Ovis aries: one gene and its partners. Each later gene encodes a partner of the first gene's protein in a complex. Links are inferred from orthologs where the notes say so. Each region holds a gene or a part of one and is shown on either strand. Other genes may lie near its edges.

Region 1 (3,500 bases):
AATTCCCATCTAATTTGCAATTACAATTTTGTCCTTTTTTGAGACTGAAAGTCTGCCAGTGTACTTGTTCTCTGAGGCTATAATCTACATATGATTCTACAGCAGTTATAATCAAACGCACATGAAAATTTAACATTTTTCTAGTTTCCAAAAAATGCAGTCCTATCTAGCTAGCATTTTTATCGTAATGAGTGACCATGAGGGAATTCTATCTGAGGAACCCATTGGCCAGTCATATATTACAGTGAATACAAATGTTACACATGCTGCCAAGAGGACTTAGTATTAATTCGGTCTTTGCATGTAAGCATACATGCTACATCAAAGTGTCCAAACTGCTAACAGGTTTCTGTGGTGGGCAACTGCAGTTCATCTCCTATTTTCCATATGCCATGCAAAACAGCATGAGTTTGAATCCCCAGAGACAATCACACTGTGCTGTTTTCTCATAAGCAGTGACTTCTGTCTGGAACAGCCACAAAGACAACAAAACAGTGCCCACGATTTTGTAATAAAAGTTCTTATTGTAATAAAATGTTCTTGATATACATTCTTAGAGGTACCCATAAAACAGATTGGGATCACTCTTTCCAATTAGAAGGTATCAAAAGAAATAAGATTTTTTTAAATGCTTAAAATTCTTCTGTTAATACTGTACTTAAACTAATGTTCCTCCAATAAAGTACATATTCATTCACTTATAATTTGAAAGAAGAATGTCATAAAGTAATGGCTCTTTGAATCATTTTCTTCTGATTTTTAATTACCTATGCCTAACCTACCAACCTGAAAATCCAAATCAGGCTCTGCAAAGAAATGTTCAATCTGAGGCACAGCGGTGTCTTTGAGTACAGATAACGCGTGACCCAGAAACCCTGATCAGCAATCACTGCTATCTCAGAGAGCAAAATAGTAAGTGTGTAATAATGATCTTTACTCTAATTGGACTCCTTTCAAATTTTCCTGTTCAACAAAACTCTAAAATGATTATGCAGTTCAGATCAGAAAAGGAACTACAATGATTAACTGAAAACCTAAATAATTAAATTGCTCCCAAGGCAGTAAAATGGTTTATTGTGTATAGGAACCTGACTTTTCCCATTCAAGGAAAATGAACTGAGGACCAACCAACCCCATCCTAGTTGCTGGGTATGCAACAGTGGGAAAAAAAAAGAGGAAGGAAAGTCAGTGCATGGCAAGTATGAGCGGCATCAAGAGACTGCTGGTGTGTTCTGTAATAAAGCGGGAGGACTTCCCTGCAGCTCAAACAGTAAAGAATCTGCCTGCGATGCAGGAGACCAGGGTTCAATCCCTGGGTTGGGAAGTTCCTCTGGAGAAGGGAATGGCAACCCACTCCACTATTCTTGCTTGGAGAAGTCCATGGACAGAGAAGCCTGGCGGGCTACAGTTCATGGGGTCGCAGAGAGTCAGACACAACTGAGCAACTAATACACACACACACACAGTGACACACACACACACACACAGAGTGATGCAGACCACAGCAGGAGGACTTCCCACAGGCCACAACTGTGCAGTCCAGGAAGTAAGGGAACCACCAGCCCCACGTGCTGAACTTAAAGGCGCAGTACACTTATTTCATCCCAGAGAGTTAACAGTGCCAGTTTAGAACACCAAGAATCTCTGGGGTGGCAGACAACAGATTTCGATCTAAACAATGATCTAATTATCTAGTTACAGAAACTATCTTGCAGCAAAGGGGTGTGTGTTACTGTTTTGAGGAGCTTGTGTAAGAGGCTAGGCTGTGGAATGGCTCCTGAAGTGGCTGCACTGCTTGTGATCAGCATGCTAACCCCTGGCGTGCTAGTTGCTCCAGCTGTGCGGGCCAGTTTGAGACAAAACAAGCTGGGACACGACTGGAGAACGGCAGCAGAGAATAAGCCAGGCCCTGCCCTACAGAGTGCTTCTGGGCACACACTTTCATCCTGTTGGTGGCATGTTGCTTCCACAACCATTAGTTCTCAGAGCGTTTCAAAAATCTTGTGCCTGAAACTCCATGTTAAAGAGGAGAAGACCTAGGTAAAAGGATCCCTTAAGGTCATACAGAGACTAAACAAAAAAGGCAGGAATTCGAGTCCTATGACTCCATGTACTTCTCCAAGTCTAAGGTTCTTTTAAAGTACTTCACTGTCACAGTTTTTCATTCCAATACAGACTTTACACAAACATAATCATAAAGCCTGCTTATAAAATTAAAGTTGATTTCATTAAGATGATTTCTATACAAGGTCACAAAAGTAGCCCACAAACTGGACCTACAGCATAAATTTGTCTTAGCTTTTAGAATGTAACTCTGAATTAACTGTCAACAATTTTTTCTGTGTGTGTGTGGGGGGGGGAGGGGGGGGGAGGGGCGGGGCGCGCTACACGTCTTGCAGGATTTTAGTTCCCTGACCAAGGATTGAACCCAGGCCATTCACAGTGAAAGTGCCAATTCCTAACCACTGGACTGCCAGGGAATTCCCAACTATCAACATTTTAAAAAGGAAATGTACATTAAAATCTCTCACATTCCTGCCTGAACAACTCCCTAAGGTTGAACTGCCAAAAAAAAAAAAGCAAAAAAAAAAAAGTCCCTTTAAAGGGGACAACACACACTCTCGAACAGTTTGCTGTTGGCCCCGCTCTCCCCACACCCCTACAGCGACACTGAGTGTCAATGGCGGCTAGTATTTTGCTCGACCCTGTCCACTCCATTCACATATTGCTTACTTGGTCCTGACATTTGCGTTTGTGGCCTTTTACTTTAAAGCATTTACATTATGTCATTAAGAAATTATCAATCAAAGGGAAAACTAATTCTGCACTGCTGAAGTCAGAATTATTTGGGGACAGTACAAACTACGTACAAGCTATGACAAATACTTCCTTTTCCCTCCTCCATATCACAGCACCGTTCTATTGCTGCTTTCTTGTATGACATGGGGTCAGCAACAGAAATTAGCATATGAATACTTAACCTTAAAGTGCCTTAAGTAAACACATCTGAAATCATCAAAGTACATATAATGAAGTACTTACCACCATCACCCTAAAAATATTACCTACTCCAATCTACTGCTTGGTTCTGTGACAGACACTAATTTGACACTGAATGACCATAAACACCATGGTTCTCCACACAAATAACCTCAATGTTCCCATATATATGAAATTTAGAAAATAATATTTTCAACACAAAAGAATATGCACAAAAACACGAATGGCCGATGAAGTTTCAAATGAAATGCTGTCATCATGTAAAGTAAATACTTAGGTTAAATGATACAAATCCCATTAAATACAGCAGGTGACTTGACACGATCCCAGCACATACTTGTAGCCATCTCTAATGAAAGTGGCTGCAGGCGGCATGGGCAGCTGCTCAATTTTAGGAGGGATTGCCCACGAAGGCCGGAACAGACAGGCATCAGGAATCTTCAGAGGTAGCAGGCACTGGCTCGGCAACATCTTCAGTGGAGCAAACATGGAGGATCCCA
Region 2 (3,975 bases), on another chromosome or scaffold:
TCAGGGAGACACTGGGCTGAACCGTGGGGTACAGACAGGAACCAAGGGCTGTCACCACGTCAAACCACGTGGGAGATGCTAGCAACACAGATGCTGACAACTGGGTGGCAGGTGTGACAACCTGGCACCATGAGAGGAGGAGCCAAGCCCTCCCTGGGCTTGAGGCCTGCTCCCCCAGGCAGGACACCCACCTTTTCCACATGCAGGGCCAGTTTTACACCGTTGTGCAGCCAGGACAAGGCCACGATGGGGTCCCCTTCCACCACGCTGCCCACGGGGCTCTCCCAGCTGTTGGCCAGGTGGTCAGCCATGCTCCAGCACTTGATCTGCCCATCAGCATCAGCTGACAGCAGACGAGAGCCTGAGGGGAAGGTGGGAGATTGGGCAAATCTGCATCACAAGCCCCATCCCCGCCGTCCATCAGGGTGGGGGGGCCGGAATGTAGAAGTCGTAGAGCAAGGGACCAGCACAGGTGAGTTCAGAAACAGGGGCGAGAAGAGCAGAAGCCTCAAAGGCACAGGTCAGGGTTTCAAGTCCCAGCTCTGAGCCTAGGGCTAAGGCCAGGAAGACAGAGCAGGCAGCCCTGGCATTCAGGGTGGAAGGCTGCCCTCACCAGACTGGTCCCACTCCAGGCAGGTGATGGCCTCGCTGTGCTCTGAGCGGATGGAGTGCACGTCCCAGGGATGCTCAGTGTCCAGGATGTGGATCATGCGGGTCAGGTCTGCGAGGGACAGTGAGGTCAGTGTGGCAACCACGGCCTGGTGCCCGACCACCCCAGGGGATTGGGCTGTCAAAGCCTATCAGGAAGCGTTAAAGCCAGGCTGCAGGGACTCCAGAAACATGATTTATACACAGGCAGCCCAAGGGGAGACCCATGGCCTTCTGTGAGGTTACAACTGTGCTTTCAAAAATGGACCCAAAACACTAACAGCGGGTGTCTCTCCATGAAAGGTTAGGGTTCTCCTCATCCTAAAGTTTCACGTTTTCCTAATTTCCTCTAAGAAGTGCATATTGCTCTGTGGTGGGAAGAATATCTGCCCTGCGGCAGAGTGCACCGCAAAGCTGGTGGCAACACGTGCAGCTGGAAAACTCCTGCAGGAGCTTCAGCAAGCCATAAGTGGCCACCACCCCCTCTCCCCCAGCCCTGCAGACACGGCCATTCCTCAAGGTTATCTCTGTGCCCCTCAGCACCCCTGTCTCAGAGGAGGAAACCCCATGGGAGCTGGGGGGAGGGCCCTATGAGGGGGCCTGGGATGGGGGTGGCACACCCTGGTCATCGCTGCGCAGGTCCGTGGTGAAGGCGATGAGGTTGCGGCAGGACCAGGTGCAGGCAAGGGGACCGGATGGGCAGTGGGTGCTCTTGGGCCATTTCTCCCACTCACAGATGTAAGCCAGGTCCATGGTGCCCAATTGCCAAGGTCACACAGGGAGGACGGTCACCAGCTCCTACAGGAGGGAAGACAGGCTTGTCATCCATCTTCACAGGGTGCCTGCAGGGCCCCGAGTGCGGTGGTGGATGCTGGTTACCACGGGGGACAAAGTGGACTCAACCCCTGCCCTGTGTGTGGCCAGGGAACTGCGTTTTACACAAGCATGGCCAGGGATCAATCCATGCAGCTGGGAGGAAGAGCATGCCAAGAGGAGAGAACAGCCAGTGCAAAGGCCCAGAGGCTTGACTGAGCCTGGGATGCTCAAGCAGTATCCAGGCCTGCAGAGCAGGAACAGAGTGAGTGGGGGCGAGAAGCAAGGTAAGGTTGGGGAGGGGATGAGGCAGGTCTTGCAGGGCCTGGGGGTTTTACCAGGAGGAAGATGGGAGCCCCAAGAAGCCTGTTTCTGTTTCACAGGCCCCTCTGGCTGTCTGAAGGGCACGGCTGGGGAATGGATGGTGGCGCTGGTCCAGGTGTACAGTGACGGGGACAGTGAAAGCTGCGACAAGAGGTAGCACCCAGGTCTATTCTTAAGGAGGACACAGGAGAACCAGTGAGGCTGCCTTAGACAGAGGTAGGGAGGCAGGGTGGGGGTTAGGCAGCAACTTGGGGCCTGGCTTCCAGGGGTACAGAAAGGGTCAGTGAAAGCTTGCTCAGCAGGCTCTTTGCACCCAGCCGCGACTAAGGTTATTTCCTTTCACCTTCCCAATCACATTACCCGCTGCTTCTTAAAGCCCCGCCCCAGAACACTGACACCCCGCCCACAAGCCCAACCAACAGTCATTTTAAGCTCTGCCCCCAAAGCCCTCCGGCCCCGCCCCTACAAAATGTGCCTTCCAGACCTCACTCTCAATTTGTCCCTGGCGTCCCCAGGCCCGGCCTAAACTTCTGTTTTTATTCCAAAGTCGCCAAAACAATCCCAAAGCCCCTCCTCCACACACCTGGCCACCTGGCCACCCAGGACCCGCCCCAACCCACCCGACAGTCCCTAAGCCCCGCCTCAAATGCATCCCAGGCCCTCCCCGGGGAGGTACAACCTTAGGCCCTCCCCGGTTTTACACCGCCCAACGCAGGGAGCCTCAGGTCACCCCAAATTTCCGCCACGACCCCCCAGACCACGCCCAGAGCCCTCAGGGAGCGTACCCAGCACCCTCTGCTCTCCAGGACCGCCCTCTGACTCCACAGGCCCTGCTCCGACCCATAATCCCAGCAGCGTCGGCGCCATCCGGAGGCTGGCCGACTGCCCAAGCCCCCAGCCCCACACTCACTGGACCAGCCTGTACGCCCACCGAGAAGGAGGCTGCCGTCTGCATTCGCTCTAACGCCCCGGCTCCGGCGCCGCCATCTTCCCAGGACCAACGAGTCTCCCGCGCAGCCCGGCTGCTTCCCGGAGACTTCTGGGACCTCAGTGGCTCCGCCCCGCTTCCGGGGTAATTTGCATACAATCGTGCCTTTCCAACAGCCATCTGCGTTATATTTGATGGAAAAAACAAACTTTCTCAATTTAAGTGAATAATCCCCTTAGATTAGGCCATTATTGCACTAAGTTAGTAAAAAAAAAGGAAAATTGCTGTATTGGTTTTTGATAGAATTCGCCCTCAGCGTAAAGTATTTGGTTCTGTCTACTATAAATAGTTCTGGCGTCTGTTCGTGGTTTGTGCTCGCTTCGGCGGCACATATACTAAAATTGGAACGATACAGAGAAGATTAGCATGGCCCCTGCGCAAGGATGACACGCAAATTCGTGAAGCGTTCCATATTTTCGCTTTTTATCACGATGTCTAGCCAACGTGTAACTCGCTTATAAGCCAGGTAACTCAACCCATCAAGGGCCGGTAGAATCAGTCTCCATCCTCAATTCCTCCTCCAAAAGCTGTCGGACTCTCCCCAGTCTGGAAGGTCTTTTCCAGAAAGACATAGGATTGATTGCAGGGAAGGGTATGACAGAGAGCAGGCAACATCTGGGCAAAGGTCTGGGGGCCGGGCTGTCTAGGGACGCGGTGTGTGGAGAATCTACACAGCCAACCAGGAAGCTGGACAGGACGGAGTCCGCGTGGGTCTGGAGGCAGCCTGTGGGCTTGCCCTGGGCCCCCCACCCGTGCCCTGAGCCCCAGCCGGTCCTCTCAGTTCAGTTCAGTCGCTCAGTTGTGTCCGACTCTCTGCGACCCCATGGACTGCAACATGCCACGCTTCCCTGTCCATCACCAACTCCCTGAGCTTACTCAAACTCATGTTCATCGACTCGATGATACTATCCAACCATCTCATCTTCTGTTGTCCACTTCTCCTGCCTTCAATCTTTCCGAGAATCAGGGTCCTTTCCAATGAGTCAGTTCTTCACATCAGGTGGCCAAAGCATTGGAGTTTCAGCTTCAGCATCAGTCCTTCCAATGAATATTCAGGACTGATTTCCTTTAGGATTGACTGGTTTGATCTCCATGCAGTCCAAGGGACTCTCAAGGGTCTTCTTCAACACCACAGTTCAAAAGCATCAATTCTTCGGGGCACAGCTTTCTTTATGGTCCAACTCTCACATCTATACTGGAAA
Region 3 (4,028 bases), on another chromosome or scaffold:
GTCTTTTCAAATGAGTCAGTTCTTCCCATCAGGTGGCCAAAGTATTGGAGTTTCAGCTTCACCATCAGTCCTTCCGATGAACACCCAGGACTGATCTCCTTTAGGATGGACTGGTTGGATCTCCTTGCAGTCCAAGGGACTCTCAAGAATCTTCTCCAACACCATAGTTCAAAAGCATCAGTTCTTCAGGGCTCAGCTTTCTTTATAGTCCAACTCTCACATCCATACATGACTACTGGAAAAATCATAGCCTTGACTAGACCCTTGTTGACAAAGTAATGTCTCTGCTTTTTAATATGCTGTCTAGGTTGGTCATAACTTTCCTTCCAAGGAGTAAGCGTCTCTTAATTTCATAGCTGCAATCACCATCTGCAGTGATTTTGGAGCCCCCCAAAATAGTCAGCCGCTGCTTCCACTGTTTCTCCATCTATTTGCCATGAAGTGATGGGACCAGATGCCATGATCTTCGTTTTCTGAATGTTGAGCTTTAAGCCAACTTTTTCACTCTTCTCTTTCACTTTCATCAAGAAGCTCTTTAGTTCTTCACTTTCTGCCATAAGGGTGGTGTCATCTGCATTATCTGAAGTTACTGGTATTTCTCCCGGCAATCTTGACTCCAGCTTGTGCTTCTTCCAGCCCAGCGTTTCTCATGATGTACTCTGCATATAAGTTAAATAAGCAGGGTGACAATATACAGCCTTGACATACTCCTTTTCTTAGAAAGTATCTATTTTGTATATCTCTATGCACATTTTTTTTTCTGGGAAGAAGGGCCTTAGCTTCCATCAGCATATTAAAGGGATTGTGAAACACAAGCGGTTAAGAACCTCAGTGATGTACCATAAAGACCTTGAGGGATTAGAGCCGACCTTTCAGGATTTAACACGTGCTTTCTCATGCATATGTAGTTTCTAATCTTCGCAACAGTCCCTTAAAGGAGGTGTTAGTAGTATACCTATTTTTCAGATGCAAAAACGAAGAAGCGGTTGAAAAAGGCAAGAGTTCCTACAGACGATCTAGCCCTTATTCGAGGCCGAGAACTGAGAGAGGCTCAGAGAACCCAGTTCCAGTAGGAGCTCATCGCCTCGGCCGCCTCCCACCTCGCAGGTTCGTATCCCCAGCGCAGCACACGACTGGCGGTCGCTGCAGGAATCTTGACTGAGTGAAATCCACCTCCCGTGGCGGGCGCCGAAAAGCTCCGGGGGCGCGGAGCTCCGCCCCACGCCGGGCTGGGCCCGCCCCTGCCGCGGTCGGTATTGTCAGACGGTTCCCGGCGTCCCTCGGTTTCCCTCGGTAGTTTCCGGCAAAGATCGGGAGTTTCTAACGTGCCCCTTGTAGTCTCTCGGCTGCCGTCCTCGCCACCGCCGCCCCTCTTTTCGGCTCCCTCTCCCCTACCCACCCCCCCCCCCCCCCCCGCGATCGGCCCGGCTGGCGCCTCTGTCGTTACGGGCTGAGCAAGATGGCGGCCTTCGGGATCTTGAGCTACGAACACCGGCCCCTGAAGCGGCCGCGGCTGGGGCCTCCTGATGTGTACCCTCAAGATCCCAAACAGAAGGAGGTGAGTTCAGAAATTCGGGCTCCCAGGGGGCCAGGGGCCAGCGATCGGCAGAGGAGGAAGCACTGATGGCTGGGGGAAGCGGGGGCGGGGCGGCTCTGTGGGAGTGCAAGTCCCGAAAGGGGGAAGAGTAAAGTGGACTGGTATCGGAGAGTAAGACCTGGGGGAGGTGGGGGCTGGTTTCTGGGCTAGAACCGGGAGTGATGTTGGGGCCACGCTGGAGGCGCCCCCTCTACACACACACACACCTCAGAAAGTTGTCTGAGGCGGCTGGATGAACTAAGGCTGCTTGTAAACTCGCAGGGGAAGAGTGCTGTTGAGGGAGCTCTGGGGATTGGGAATCTTATTACTGTGGGGGTGAGGGGGTCCAAATTAATATAAGAGATTATTTTAAAATAATAATGTGCTATCTACTCCCCAATCATTTTCCTATTTTTTTCCACCCTTGTTCCCTTCTCTTCTGCCCTCTTCCACCACCACCACCATCTCCCCCAAGGAAGGAAAAAGCTAAAATGTTGTTTTCCTGCCTCAGGATGAATTAACGGCCTTGAATGTAAAACAAGGTTTCAATAACCAGCCCGCTGTCTCTGGGGATGAACATGGCACTGCCAAGAATGTCAACTTTAATCCTGCCAAGGTGAGACAACCCCATCAGGCTGAAGGAAAAGGCTGGAAGAATCTGAGAGGGAGCAAAGACCCTGGGCTGGGAAGACGTAAAGGGATGACCTAACTGGCGGTGTTTTCCTTTGTAACCTAATGCTACCACACTGGCATTTGCCCATCAAAGGCACAGCCACCTTTCTGCTCTGTCTTCCCACCCTGAGGTGTAGCTTTCTTCCCTCAGATCAGTTCCAACTTCAGCAGCATCATTGCAGAGAAGTTACGTTGTAACACCCTCCCTGACATTGGTAGAAGGAAGCCCCAAGTGAACCAGAAGGACAACTTCTGGCTGGTGACTGCACGATCCCAGAGTGCCATTAATACTTGGTTTACTGATCTGGCTGGCACCAAGCCACTCACACAACTAGCCAAAAAGGTGAGGTACTGTTTCCTGTTCTTTAGACCAAAGGGGGGAACGTGAGTACCAAGTACCCTCTGATTTTCAGATTGAAGTACACGGGTGTCAGCTCACTGGGGTGAGAGAGGTCTCACTGTTTGCAATGTCCATTCAGGTCCCCATTTTCAGTAAGAAGGAAGAAGTGTTTGGGTATTTAGCCAAATACACAGTGCCTGTGATGCGGGCTGCCTGGCTCATTAAGATGACCTGTGCCTACTATGCAGCAATCTCAGAGACCAAGGTTAAGAAGAGACATATTGACCCCTTCACAGGTGAGTAACTCCTAATACCAGAGGACGTACCACTGATCACTTCAAAGAGTGGTGGAGAAACCTTGAAATTACTCTCCTTCCTCATCTATATTCCTTGCTTCTGCTTGTATCTTGCATTCACTCAGTTAGTAAACATCAAGTGTCTTGAGTATCTACTGTATGTGTGCTGCTGCTGCTGCTAAGTGGCTTCAGTTGTGTCCGACTCTGTGCGACCCCATAGACGGTAGCCCACCAGGCTCCGCCATCCCTGGGATTCTCCAGGCAAGAACACTGGAGTGGGTACTGGGCTATAAAGATAATCACTACCTAGTCCCTGCTCTTAGGATGCTTATAGTCTAGTAGGGATGCTAAGGCCACTGTACAAATCCCATAATTAAATATAGAAACATAGTGTCAAAAGTGGAGGCAGGGGCTTCCTTGGTGGCTCAGTGGTAAAGAATCCACCTGCCAGTGCAGGAGACATGGGTTTGATCCCTGATCTGGAAAGATCCCACATGCCTCAGAGCAGCTAAGTCTGTGAGCCACAACTATTGAGCCTGGGCTCTGGAGCCCATGTGCCCCAACTACTGAAGCCTACACACCCTAGAGCCCGTGCTCTACAAGAGAAGCCACTGCAGTGAGAAGCCTGTACTCCACAACTAGAGACTAGCCCCACTTACCACAACTAGAGAGCTTGCGTGCAGCAATGAAGACCCAGAGCAGCCAAAAATAAATAAATAATATTATGTAATATAAAAAAGTGGAGGCAGAAGTTTCTTTGAGACTTCAGTGAACAGAAAGGTTATTTTCTTTTGGGGATACCTGGAAAGGCTTTAGGAAGGTGACATTTGTTTTTGTTTTGTTTTGTTTTGTTTTATTTTGTTGAAGTATAGTTGATTTATACTGTTGTGTTAGTTTCTCGTGTACACCAAAGTGATTCAGTTATACATATGTGTGTTTATCTATATTCTTTTTTGCATTCTTTTCCGTTATAGCTTATTATAGAATATCGAATGTAGTTCCCTGTGCTATGCAGTAGGACCTTGTTGTTGAAGGTGGCATTTGACTAGAGCCTATATGGGGATGAATAGGATTTAGAAACATGGTGACTGGGAGTGGGGGTGGGGGACAGAAGGTGTTCTAAGCAGAGGGACACTGTAAAATA
Region 4 (4,253 bases), on another chromosome or scaffold:
TTTCTTCTGCGGTCTTGAAGTCTGGAAAGTGCCTCTTATCCAGAACTGCCTGGAAGACCCACCACAGGACTCACTACCTTCGGAAGTGCCTGTAATCCAGCTGCAGTAAACCATCAAAAGTTCATAGGAGAGCCAGCTGGAAAAGCCGAATTCTTTTCCTTGGTTTCAGGTCTGATTAGACCCAGTTTCAGCCTTGTGACCTGTATTTAGGTTTGTGGTGTTTACAGCTCTCCAACATGTTTACTTCCAAACGCGACCATCCTTTCTTGATGGGAACAGTGGCCACCGAAGTCCAGTGTTTTATTCCATGAAACTGGTTCGGATCGGTTGAATTCGATCCAGTGAAACCAACAGACCCTCCCACCAGAGACAGATGAGATTCTGGCCTTTATTAAGCATACATGGTGAACACCTAGTCCTGGCTGTACTTGGCAACCCTCCTTCTGTTTTGATTCCCACTCCTCCCAACATGTGTGTACTTTTGACCTACTCTGAGCCGGAGTGAGTGAAGTTGCTCAGTCGTGTCCGACTCTTTGCGATCCCATAGACTGTAGCCTGCCAGGCTCCTCCGGCCATGGAATTTTCCAGGCAAAAGTACTGGAGTGGGTTGCCATTTCCTTCTCCAGGGGATCAGACGCTTTACCATCTGAGCCACCAGGGAAGCCCACTCTGAGCTCGACTCCTGATCTATTCGAGCGACCTTGTCCTGTCTACAAATGGACAGGCAATAAGATGACTTTAACCCAGAAGCAGCACCTCAGCAAGGGAAATGAAAACATCAGAAGCCAAACTGATGTAAGGTGTGGCGGCGGCGGTGGTTAGGAGACTGAGTCCCACTGAGGCGGGTTGCACGCCCCCCAGGAGGCGCAGGTGGGCCCCACCCCAGCCCCGCGGGGCCGCGCACGCCGGCCGGAGGGAGGGGCCAGATGAGGACCAAAAGTCTCCAAGCGCAGCTCTTCCTTAGGAGCGGGAGCTGTTCTGAGTGAACCTCCGGCCGTGCCCTCCTCCAGGGGATCCTCCCGACCCAGGGATCCAACCAGAGGCTTCTGTGTCTCCTGCAGGCAGATTCATTACCGCTGAGCAACTGGGAAGTTCTATCATCAGATACCCACCCAAAATAAGTTTCTGTTTTACGACAATCTCTCCTCTTTTTCTGAAGCTCTCTTCCCCAGGGTCTCTTTGTCCTTTCAGGTCCAAGAGATTTCCTGGACAAAAACACGTCCAGGTCTTCACAGTTGAAAAAAATATTTTCCTGGAAGATGGCGTATGACTGCAATGCCGCCTGAATCTCCCAAAGGACCCCTCCTAAGGAGGCCGCCATCTTCCGTGCAGCATCGGAGTTTGCGCATGCGCCCCTGCTTGCCGTACAGCGGAAGAGACTTTTTTTGTCCTCTCGGCACCCTTACGTCGCAGAGTGGCGGTGTCGAGGTTTGCGCGACGAAAGGTTTTTGTCAGACGTGGGAAGAGGCGAGAGAATTGTTGCACTGCCTAGGGGTTTTCAAGTTTAGGGCTGGGGGTGGTGATTGTTGCTCGAAAGCTCCGAGGTGCTCGGGTGAATACGGTCCCCCGCTTTCCTGGAAGAGGCTGGAACGCGCTTGGCGGTGTGTTTTTGGTATAAGTGGGCACGTTTTGATGCTGGGTTTAGGAGGCCCTAAAGCATCATTGGGGCTTCCCTAGTAAACTCAGACGGTAAAGCATCCGCCTGCAATGCAGGAGACCCGGGTTTGATCCCTGAATTGGGAAGATTCCCCCGGAGAAGGAAATGGCAACCCACTCCAGTATCCTTGCCTGGAAAGCCCCATGGATAGAGAAGCCAGGCCTAAGTCGATGGGGTCACAAAGAGTCGGACACGACTGAACGACTAACACAAAGCATCAGTGGAAAGAACTTCGTGCTTTCGCTTCAATCTCTTTAAAAGGTTTTTAGAGAGGTGGAACGCCTAGATTTTAGTCTGGTATAGGTTCTGCCACCCACCTATTGTGTGTCCTTAGGCTCCTCCCCAAGCCTCAACATCCTCATCTGTAAATTGAAGGGCATACAAGAGTCCTTAAGTCACTTTTCAGTCTTTAGTTGCAGGTCCATTATGTCATCTGAGCCACAAAGACTTGGGGGTTAATATCATGGCCTCATTTTAGAAGAAAGACATTGAGTCCCAGGGTGCACAGAAAACCATTGAAGGGTTTCAGACCTTGAGACTGAAAGATTATGCTGTAACTCCATGATCAGGCCTCCTTTGTGTATTTCTGGATCACCTGAAACTGGCCTATAGCAGTTACTAAAGTTTTGAATGGGTGGATGAATGAATTTTCATCTCCAGGCCAATGACCCAAGCAGATCTGGTCTCTCTCTGCCTCTCCCATGTATTAACAAGTATAACTCTTCCCCAGGTGTATCCTGTGTGTTACCTGACTGGGGATTCCAAATCTAGTTCTGTCGTTTTCAACTTAAACAGATAAACATGGAGGCACCTCCAGTCACCATGATGCCTGTCACCGGGGGCACCATTAACATGATGGAGTACCTGCTGCAGGGTAAGTGAACTAGGGAGCTTGAATTACCTGTTTTCCTGTTTTCTGTTCCGCTTTCCATGGAGATGAGAGGCTGTTATATAAAAGCTACCTGCATAATTTCTGGCACCCTTTTATTCCCCAATTTACTTTTAATTATGGTCACAAATACATAACATTAAGTTTACCATATTAAACATTTTTAAGCATACAGTTCAGTAATGTTAAGTATTTCACATTGTTGTATAGCTAATCTCTAGAACTTTTTCATCTTGCAGAATTGAAATTCTATTCCTGTTAAACACTAATTCCTCCTTTCCCCTTGCCGTAGGCCTTGGCAACAACCTTTCTACTTGATGTTTCTAATTTTGACAACGTTAGATAACCTCATAGGAGTGGAAGCATTCAGTATGTGTCTTTTTATGACTGGCTTATTTCACTTAGTATAATATCCTCAACATTAACCCTTTCGCATGTAAGAGAATCTCCTTTTAAAAATCTGAATAATGTTCCACTGTATGTACATACCATATTTTCTTTATTCGTTTGTCTGTCAGACATTTGGATTGCTTCTACCCAAATTGTTATCATAGATAATACTCAGTGAACATGAGTGTGCACATACCTCTTCAAGATCCTGCTTTGGATTCTTTAGGAGTGAATGCCCAGAAGTGAGATTAATAGATCATATGGTAATGTTATGATACTGTTATTAGTTCCATCTTCTAGATCAGGAAATAGAAGTGAAGTAACTTTCCCAGATGAGAAAGCTCAAGACCAGGGAGGGTTATGATTTTCTGGAGGTCATTTAATCTTTAGTGGAAGAATTTAGACTTTAATTCAGATCATCCGTTTAGTAACTTACAATGGACAAAATAAAATTGTTAATTGCACTCCTCAATCTGCCTCTACTTCAGCCTTTCCCATCTCAGTAAGTGCCGCTGTCAGTCATCAGTTGCTTAAGCCATGCATTCAGGAATCAATCTCAGAGAAAAGAAAATAGAGTCTATGGGGTTGCACAGAGTCGGGCACAACTGAAGCGACTTAGCAGCAGCAGCAGCATGGCATGCAGGATCTTAGCTCCTGAACCAGGGATGAAACCTGGGTCCCCTGCATTGGGAGCACCAAGTCCTAACCACTGGATGACCAGGGAATTCCTGTGAACAGTCAGCCTAGATTTCTAGATCTAGTCATCTAGATGTCTGTTTCTGACCTTTTGCCATATTTGCTCTATCTTTTTCCTTTTGCCGTTTTTGAAGACAGATTCAGATCTCGTAACATTTTACCCCCAAACACTTTCAGTATTCATCTCTAAAAAAGCAAGCGTATTTTCCTTAATAACCCCAATACTATCATTATTACCTGAAAGAGTCATAGTATATTTCTGATATCATCTAATATATAATTCATATTCAGAAGTTTCCTCCATCTTGTGTTTTGATCCAGGGCATAATATCATCTCATGCATTACATATGAAAACCGTGTCTCTTAAGCCTTTTTTAACTTGGACCCGCCTCCCCTCATTGCCACTTTTTTTCATGTGACCCTGTCTGGTTGAAGCATCCATACCAATTTTCCTAGAATGATCTTTTTAAAATGTAAATCCAGTCATATCTTTCCTTGTTGCATGGAGAATAAAGTGTGGAGCTAATAACTGCCCAGTGGCCGTACAATAAAATACAGCCTTTAGCATGGGCGACACATAAGTCCTGCCTGCTTTGGCCCATCCCAAATGCTCATTTCAT
Region 5 (3,500 bases), on another chromosome or scaffold:
TCCCACCCCCATCCCCATGTAGGCAGATGAAGTGGCACGAAGCCTGTCTCAACATTTCAGCGGCCATCCTGGAAATCCTCAACGCCTGGGAGAATGGGGTGCTAGCCTTCGAGTCCATCCAGGTAGCTCCTCTTTTCCGCAGCCTTCCCTCTTCCCTAAGGCACAGCCAGTCTTTGATAGTTTGCTACATTTCATAAAAACAAAACGACCCTTCCTCCAGAAGCCCGTGTGTGGGCATTGGCCTCCCCTGTAGTCATAGTCTAAGCTACCCTCTCTCACCAGGTGACTTTGGGGAAATCAGACTTGTGGTGAAAAGAGGCTTGGACGTGGCCCCAGACCCCACTGCTCTGCTGAGTTGCTCACGGAGGCCGGGGAAAGTGATGGCCAGGGAGGGCGCGAGAGGCCCCAGTCACTCTTTTTCCCTCGCCCAGAAAATCACAGATAATATCAAGGGGAAGGTGTGCAGCCTGGCAGTGTGCGCTGTGGCCTGGCTCGTGGCGCACGTGCGGATGCTGGGACTGGACGAGCGAGAGAAGTCGCTGCAGATGATCCGCCAGCTGGCAGGGCCGCTGTACAGCGAGAACACGCTGCAGTTCTACAACGAGAGGTCGGTCCCTTCTTGAACTCTGCAGGTCTGTGGTGAGAAGTCAGCCCCTCCAGTAACCACTCTTCCTCCTCCTCTCTCTCCCTCTTTGGAAAAATCAGTCATTTATTTATGTAGCGTACAATGAATAAATGGGGTCTTCACTGCGGTGCGCAGGCTTTCTCTAGCGGCGGCGGGCAGGCGCCACTCTCTGGTTGTGGCGTGTGGGTTTCTCACTGCGGTGGCTTCTTGTGTGGCGGCACACACGGACTTGGTCGCTCAAGACACGTGGAATCTTCCCACACTAGGGGTCAAACCCGTGTCCCCTGTACTGGCAGGTGGGTTCTTAACCACTGCACCACCAGGGAAGTTACCCCTCTTCTCATACCTCCCCAGACATGCCACTTGCCTGCTCACTCACATTCTCAATCACATCTTCACTCACTGACTCAGCAGTGCTTGTATGTGTCTTCTTGCCGGCCGTGTTTATAATCCAGCATCTGCTGTGTGTGTGCCAAACTCCAGACCCCAAACGGCCAGGATTCCTGCCCTCGGAGAGCTTGAGTCCCAGGTGCTTGCTGGTGGGAACAGTCTTATCTCAGCTCTGTCCCTCTCTAGGAGCTGTAGAGCCCCTCTATAGTGTTTACAGGCTGTGGGCCTGTCCACCCCCTCCCTACCCTGCCCCCACCCCCTCTTCTGTGACTTTTTCTTCCCTGGACTTTTCAGAGACTTGGAAGACCTCCTTAGCAACTTCAGCTATGTTGAGTCAGGGGGTGTGGGTTTGTTTACCCATCCAGTAAGCTTTTTTAAAACATTGTGGTAAAAAAATACATGATCTAAAATTTACCACCTTAACCATTTTTAAGATAACAGCTCATTTTTATTTTTTTCTGACTCTGCTGAGCCTTTGTTGCTGCACGTGGGCTTTCTCTAGTTGTGGTGAGCTGGGACTACTCTTCATTGCAGTACACGGGCTTCTCATCGTGGTGGCCGATCGTGGTGGCCGCTCGTTGTGGCGTGTGGGCTGTATAGGGCGCTTGGGCTCAGCAGTTGTGACTCTCAGGCCCTAGAGTCTGGAGGCTTCAGTAGCTGTGGCACACAGGCTTTTTTACTCTGAGACATGTGGAATCTCCCCAGCCCAGGGATCGAACCTGTGTCCCCTATACTGGTGCGTGGATTCTCCACTGTACCACCAGGTCCAGCGGTAGGGTTCAGTAGTGTGTTAAGTATATTCACATTGTTGTGAAACATCTCTAGAATGTTTCCATCTTGTAGCTCTGAACCTGGACCAACAACACCCCTTCCTGTCTTTACCCCAGCCCCTGGACCCATTAAACACCACCCCTTTCTGTCCTTCCCCAAGCACCTGGCAACCGCCACCCTAGCTTCTGTTTCTGTGAATTTACTATATAAGTGAAATCATATCACGTTCATCTTTTGGTGGCGGGCATGTCTCACTTTGTGTAATGTTCCTCAGAGTTCAACCACACCGTTGCATGTGTCAGGACTTCTTGCTTTTTAAAGGCTGGATTATATTCCATTGTATGTATATGTTGTATTTTGCTTATCTGTTCCTCAGCTGATGGACACATGGGTTTCTTGCACTTCTTGGCTGTTGTGACTAGTGTTGCTATGAATGTGGGCTTGCACCAAACATTAAGTTATGAGTGATGACCCGCAAGGTAGCCATCAAAATGTCTTTTAAGGGAAAAAATGGAAACACAGCTGATATGAGATCGGGAGGGTCTTTTTCCCCTGCCTCCTTCTCTGTTCCTCCCCTCCTTCCTCATCCTCCTCCCACAAATCAGGGACTATTTTCTTTGATATAATTGATTGTGAGCACCCTAACTGCTGTCTGGGAAATCTATGGCTCCATCCTGCAGGTGGGAAAAGTGGCTATGAAAGTCGTGGTGACTTTCCCAGAGCCATGCAGTGTTCCCTGAACGGTTAGCTCTCAGGCCCAGACCTGCATTCACCATCAGAGACTCCTGTCATGAGGAAATTCCTGGATGTACTTACATTTGCCCAGCTACCAAGGGCCGGGAAGAGTCTTGTGGGGCAGCCCTTGGGCCCCTGTCCTGGAAGTAACAGTTTACTTTGGGAGGAAGCCAAGGCCGGGTGGGGAACCCCCCTCGAGCACAGCCTAGAGGGAAGTGATTGTATTTATCAATATTGACGCCAGAGGATTGGCAGGCCCGGGCTTGGAGGGTGGGGAAGTTGGAGGGAGAGACTGAGAGAGGAAAAAAAAGTATGAATATATTGCTGAAATGACCCGAGAGGCAAGTGCCCACCAACCCCCTGTAGGCTCGGTGCTGGCACAGGGCTGGTGGGGTCACATCTGCTCAGGGTTTGCAACTTCCTCTTGTCCCCTCCCTCCCTCAGCACAGAATGAGGCTGATTTCCCGGTTCCTGGTTCCGTAACCCTAATCCTGGGAGGAGTGGGGCCTGGGTGTTTCCGCCCCGACTCCCACCCCCTCTGTTGAACCTGTACCACTGGCCCTCCCCCGCCCCCCCCCAGGGTGGTGATCATGAGCTCCATCCTGGAGCACATGTGTGCGGACGTGCTGCAGCAGACCGCCACGCAGATTAAGTTTCCCTCCACGGGCATGGACACCATGCCCTACTGGAACCTGCTGCCCCCCAAGCGGCCCATCAAGGAGGTGCTGACGGACATATTTGCTAAGGTGCTGGAGAAGGGATGGGTGGACAGCCGCTCCATCCACATCTTCGACACCCTGCTGCACATGGGTGGTGTCTACTGGTTCTGCAACAACCTGATTAAGGTACGGGAGTGCTGGGGGTGGGCTGTGGGAGCAGGCATCCTCAGACTGCCAGAGACAGGCCTGATGAGACTGAGCTAGGTCTGGCTGGCTGGCTCCCCAACCCTCAGCCTGGCGAATCCCAGCTCAAGAAGGTT
Region 6 (4,019 bases), on another chromosome or scaffold:
GAAAGTGGGTAAAAATTTACCTATGAAATAATGTGGGCCTGGAGCAATTTTTAAAGAAGTAGCTCTCTGATAACTTTGTTCTGGCTTTAAAATTTACTTTGAAAATGAAGATAACCCAAAGGTACATCTGTGATTACTTACTTTTCTCCTACCTAATTTTGTATTCCTACATCACCGACTGGATGGACATGAGTTTGAGCAAGCTCCAGGAGTTGGTTATGGACAGAGAACCCTAGCAGCGCTACAGTCCATGGGGTCACAAAGAGTCAGACACGACTGAGGGACTGAACTGACCATTCCTTTTCCCCTATATTCAGTAGCATAGTTTAGTCTACTGTTTTGGTTTTCCCTTCCAAAGAGGCAGCTCTTATAATTTGACGGTTTTTTTCCTTTTCAGTATCAGTGTTACCTTTATTATGCCTGTTTTTCTTAGGTTTATTTCACTGTTTCCTTTTTAATATTCTGAAGTAAAATATATAATTTTTATTCTTTTTCAGTTATTCAAGATGTTAACTTTCTTATAAATTTGGCTTTGGCCACATCCCAAAGATATGAATACATATTAATCTCATTATACTATTTCCTAGATAATATGTAAGTGTATTTTAAATGCTCTCTTTGCTACAGTAAAGCATCCAGAGTTGGTTTTGTAGTTTTAGTTTTTGTCACCTGTTCATTATTTCAGTCAACCAGCAAATGTCTAGTGTCCTTCTAGTTTTACTGCATCATGGTCAAAGAATGTATTGTGTTCTACTTAACTTCCTGAAAAATACTACCAGTGTCTCTGTTTCAAAATCATCCATTTCTTCTCCACAGTTATTTCAAATATTTAAAAAGATAAATTCCACAAACAACTGTTTTTCTTCACAGCACACAGCATGGAAGACAAACCAGTTAACGCCACATATTCTCAAATTTAAAATTACACATGATTGTAAGATTCACCATTATTTCCTATGTTACTGAAGGAAACAAAAACTGCCATGCTGATAACAGCAATGTTATCCATTTTTTAACTGCTGCTAGCAGCAGTTAATGTTAAAGGGCGATTTTAAGCCATGAAAAATCATATCAATCTTCCTCTTTCACCAAAATCACCTAAAACAATGGCTTTCATCATCTTTTTGTTTTTCCTGAATTGCTTGTCTTGTCTTTCATATTTGTTACCTTTTGCAGATCAGGGACTCCATGATTCCCAAGGGATCTGAGTAAGATAAAGTGGCCCCTTCCTCCAGGACTATTTGATTAGGAAGGCAAGGACAGTTTTAAAAACAGCACATTTAATTTTATATTTGAAAAGTGAAAAAATAATTGATTTTATAAAATACATCCTGGCCCCTTTTTAATAAGCCAACAGTAAATGAAAGCATAATGAGAAGACTTATCAAAGGGTCAAACTTCTTTTTTTTAAGTTGAAAAAGGCCTGTAACTTCTGATAATCAACAACTGGCTCCCTGTCAATTTTTTCAGCTTCTTTCAAAGTTAACCAGAATACTACTACTTCACTACAGAAATTTTCCATATTTTAATTTTGCCCAAGCAAATATTTCAGTCAGTGAATACAGTGCAAATTAAATATGATCGGAAGTAAAGCTTCTATAGCCATTCATCTCCACAGAACCACTTACAGCAAGAAAACCTGCTTTTCTGAAAATAGGTTTTAAAGCCCATTGTTTCGTTTTTTCTAGTGCAAACGGCTAAAATACCAATTGAATAATATAGGAATCCATCCTCACACTCAAAATTTACTTATGCTCTCTTCGCATGAAAAAGTATTTACACTAAGGTATCATCAAGTTCTGTGTCTTTCAACTATACACTGTACAGCCTACCCAAAGTTCAATTAGTCCCATCACCATCGTCCTATCTGCTTACACAAATGTATTTAGGGAGAAATGCTTTCAATATTACTCTAGTTCTTCCACGGTACAGACGTCAACAAAAACTTATTCTGGAAAACACGTTAAAGATATTGGTAAAGTCTCTAGAAAATACACTTTTAAAACAAAACATGAGACACAGACTAACGAAATGGACAAATGTTGAGAGCAATTGATCTATAACTTACAAACATAAAAACCATATAGGCTTAAAGACAGTGGCAGAATGCGGTTCATGAGCAGAAACAAGCCTGACTCCCTCCTTTCCTTGGAGTAACAATCCACTCAACACAGAAGAATGATAAACGATTACTGATGCCAACCTACTTTACAAATATCAGGCGAGATCGAACCACAACTGTCCTGAGAAGCCAGCCTCACAGTTCTGAACTGTCACACTTCCCATACCTGTGTCCATCCCATATCCCAACCCTCGCCAGCCCCGCCTCTCCCCTGCCCCCAACCTCGGCCTAGCTAAACCAAAAATCAGAAGCTAAAACTCTCGAACCTTCCTCCTCCGGAGACGCAATCCCTCTTACCCTCCCCCGCCAAGAAATTCTCTACCACTCCAAAACCCGGCCAACGGGGCGCGGTGAGGAGAGTCGCCGAAGAAAAAGCACATCCCGCCTCCGGCCGCCGCCTCCCTGGAGCCTCCGCGGCGCTCCGGACAGGGGCCGAGATCCAGGCCAAAAGGAGTCGCAGGCCCCGTACACCCAGCACCTCCAAGAGCCAGGCCCGGAGAAAACGGAAGATCACTTACTAGTGGGAGCTCTGCCAAAAGTTCCCTGCCATGGAACACAGCTTGGCCTGATAAAAAAGCACCAGCCGGCGGAGCGGAGCGCGGAGCGACCATAGACCCAACCCTCCCGGTCACCGCGCTCCTTGATCTGATGGACTCGGCTCCGCTCCGCGGCGGCGACGGTGAGAGGAAGATAGCACCCTATTCTTCTTGACGCCGGCCGGCAACACTCTGCTGTACAAACCAGTTCCTACGCATGGAAGTTCCGGCCCGCCCCGCGGTAGCGGAGGAAAGAGGCGGGGAGGAGATAGCCCTTGCGCACACTGAAAAAGGAGTCGGGAACTGACTCTCACGAAGTCTCGCGGCAGTTGGGAGAGTATCGCGAGAGGTTTTCGTCATTTCCGGCCTAGAGCCCGCGCGGCTCGTGCGTCTGTGGGAGCTAGGATTCACGGAGAAGGGGTGGGATGGGGAAACCGTCCCTTGTTCGGGTTAACTTTACTCCCATCTTACAGGCTTCCAAAGCAGCACAGTGGCTTTGTATTAAACTATACGACTTCCTGACTTCTGTTCTTTCTCCTGTGTTTGGAAAGAGAAATAAAGTTAATTTTGGCTTCAAAGGGCTTCCCTTGTGGCTCAGCTGGTAACGGATCCAGCCGCAATGCGGGAGACCTGGGTTCGATCCCTGTGTTTGGAAGATCCCCTGGAGAAGGGAAAGGCTACCCACTCCAGTATTCTGGCCTGGAGAATTCTATGGACTGTATAATCCATGGGATCGCAAACAGTCGGACACGACTGAGCGACTTTGACACTTTCACTTGGCCTCAAAACCTAACAAGCCGAATAGGTTCTTAATGGAGTTCTTTTGGATTGAAGTGACTGCGAAACAATGCAAAAAGAGATTACGACAAATTACTAGAAGCTAGGAGATTCAGGTCCCTTCCTTCTGTGAACTTTCAGGCAGTTTACCAGAATGCCACATAGAAATACTTCCTGTGTACAACCTGGTTTCTGCTTCCTACCCAGAACTCCAGCGTCTAAATGCCCAGCATCCCTCAGTTTTCTCAGTGGCCCTGCAAGTCAGGAGCATCAGCTTAGGCTTCATTAGTTCAAAGGTAAATCATCTTTGAGGGACCCCATAAATGTAGGTTTAATTGAATTGGCTTGAACCAAAAACTAGTTTCCACTGTTTCCCCATCTATTTCCCATGAAGTGATGGGACCAGATGCCATGATCTTCGTTTTCTGAATGTTGAGCTTTAAGCCAACTTTTTCGCTCTTCTCTTTCACTTTCATCAAGAGGCTTTTTAGTTCCTCTTCACTTTCTGCCATAAGGGTGATGTCATCTGTATATCTGAGGTTATTGATATTTCTCCTGGCAATCTTGATTCCAGCTTATGCTTC

Evidence for each region.
Region 2: MED13L (region 1) and MED16 share a complex: the UniProt entries of both Homo sapiens proteins name them as parts of the mediator complex. The link is inferred for Ovis aries from reciprocal best matches to the Homo sapiens genes MED13L and MED16.
Region 3: MED13L (region 1) and MED12 share a complex: the UniProt entries of both Homo sapiens proteins name them as parts of the mediator complex. The link is inferred for Ovis aries from reciprocal best matches to the Homo sapiens genes MED13L and MED12.
Region 4: MED13L (region 1) and MED18 share a complex: the UniProt entries of both Homo sapiens proteins name them as parts of the mediator complex. The link is inferred for Ovis aries from reciprocal best matches to the Homo sapiens genes MED13L and MED18.
Region 5: MED13L (region 1) and MED24 share a complex: the UniProt entries of both Homo sapiens proteins name them as parts of the mediator complex. The link is inferred for Ovis aries from reciprocal best matches to the Homo sapiens genes MED13L and MED24.
Region 6: MED13L (region 1) and CCNC share a complex: the UniProt entries of both Homo sapiens proteins name them as parts of the mediator complex. The link is inferred for Ovis aries from reciprocal best matches to the Homo sapiens genes MED13L and CCNC.

Annotation. Positions count from the first base shown.
Region 1 is NC_056070.1:58,896,993-58,900,492, reverse strand, and holds part of MED13L (mediator of RNA polymerase II transcription subunit 13-like), read right to left. Parts: coding exon 3,338-3,500; intron 705-3,337; exon of another isoform or gene 1-704. UniProt on the Homo sapiens protein: Component of the Mediator complex, a coactivator involved in the regulated transcription of nearly all RNA polymerase II-dependent genes.
Region 2 is NC_056058.1:41,109,603-41,113,577, forward strand, and holds the start of MED16 (mediator of RNA polymerase II transcription subunit 16), read right to left. Parts: upstream 2,801-3,975; 5' UTR 2,696-2,800; intron 1,927-2,695; 5' UTR 1,800-1,926; intron 1,447-1,799; 5' UTR 1,402-1,446; coding exon 1,269-1,401; intron 722-1,268; coding exon 614-721; intron 362-613; coding exon 192-361; intron 1-191. UniProt on the Homo sapiens protein: Component of the Mediator complex, a coactivator involved in the regulated transcription of nearly all RNA polymerase II-dependent genes.
Region 3 is NC_056080.1:63,829,577-63,833,604, forward strand, and holds the start of MED12 (mediator of RNA polymerase II transcription subunit 12), read left to right. Parts: upstream 1-1,228; 5' UTR 1,229-1,459; coding exon 1,460-1,558; intron 1,559-2,087; coding exon 2,088-2,192; intron 2,193-2,399; coding exon 2,400-2,591; intron 2,592-2,727; coding exon 2,728-2,884; intron 2,885-4,028. UniProt on the Homo sapiens protein: Component of the Mediator complex, a coactivator involved in the regulated transcription of nearly all RNA polymerase II-dependent genes.
Region 4 is NC_056055.1:238,803,761-238,808,013, reverse strand, and holds the start of MED18 (mediator of RNA polymerase II transcription subunit 18), read left to right. Parts: upstream 1-1,453; 5' UTR 1,454-1,601; exon of another isoform or gene 1,602-1,612; intron 1,613-2,387; exon of another isoform or gene 2,388-2,452; 5' UTR 2,453-2,458; coding exon 2,459-2,531; intron 2,532-4,253. UniProt on the Homo sapiens protein: Component of the Mediator complex, a coactivator involved in the regulated transcription of nearly all RNA polymerase II-dependent genes.
Region 5 is NC_056064.1:40,087,936-40,091,435, reverse strand, and holds part of MED24 (mediator of RNA polymerase II transcription subunit 24), read left to right. Parts: intron 1-22; coding exon 23-122; intron 123-431; coding exon 432-607; intron 608-3,101; coding exon 3,102-3,366; intron 3,367-3,500. UniProt on the Homo sapiens protein: Component of the Mediator complex, a coactivator involved in the regulated transcription of nearly all RNA polymerase II-dependent genes.
Region 6 is NC_056061.1:37,531,378-37,535,396, reverse strand, and holds the start of CCNC (cyclin-C), read right to left. Parts: upstream 2,801-4,019; 5' UTR 2,673-2,800; coding exon 2,641-2,672; intron 1-2,640. UniProt on the Homo sapiens protein: Component of the Mediator complex, a coactivator involved in regulated gene transcription of nearly all RNA polymerase II-dependent genes.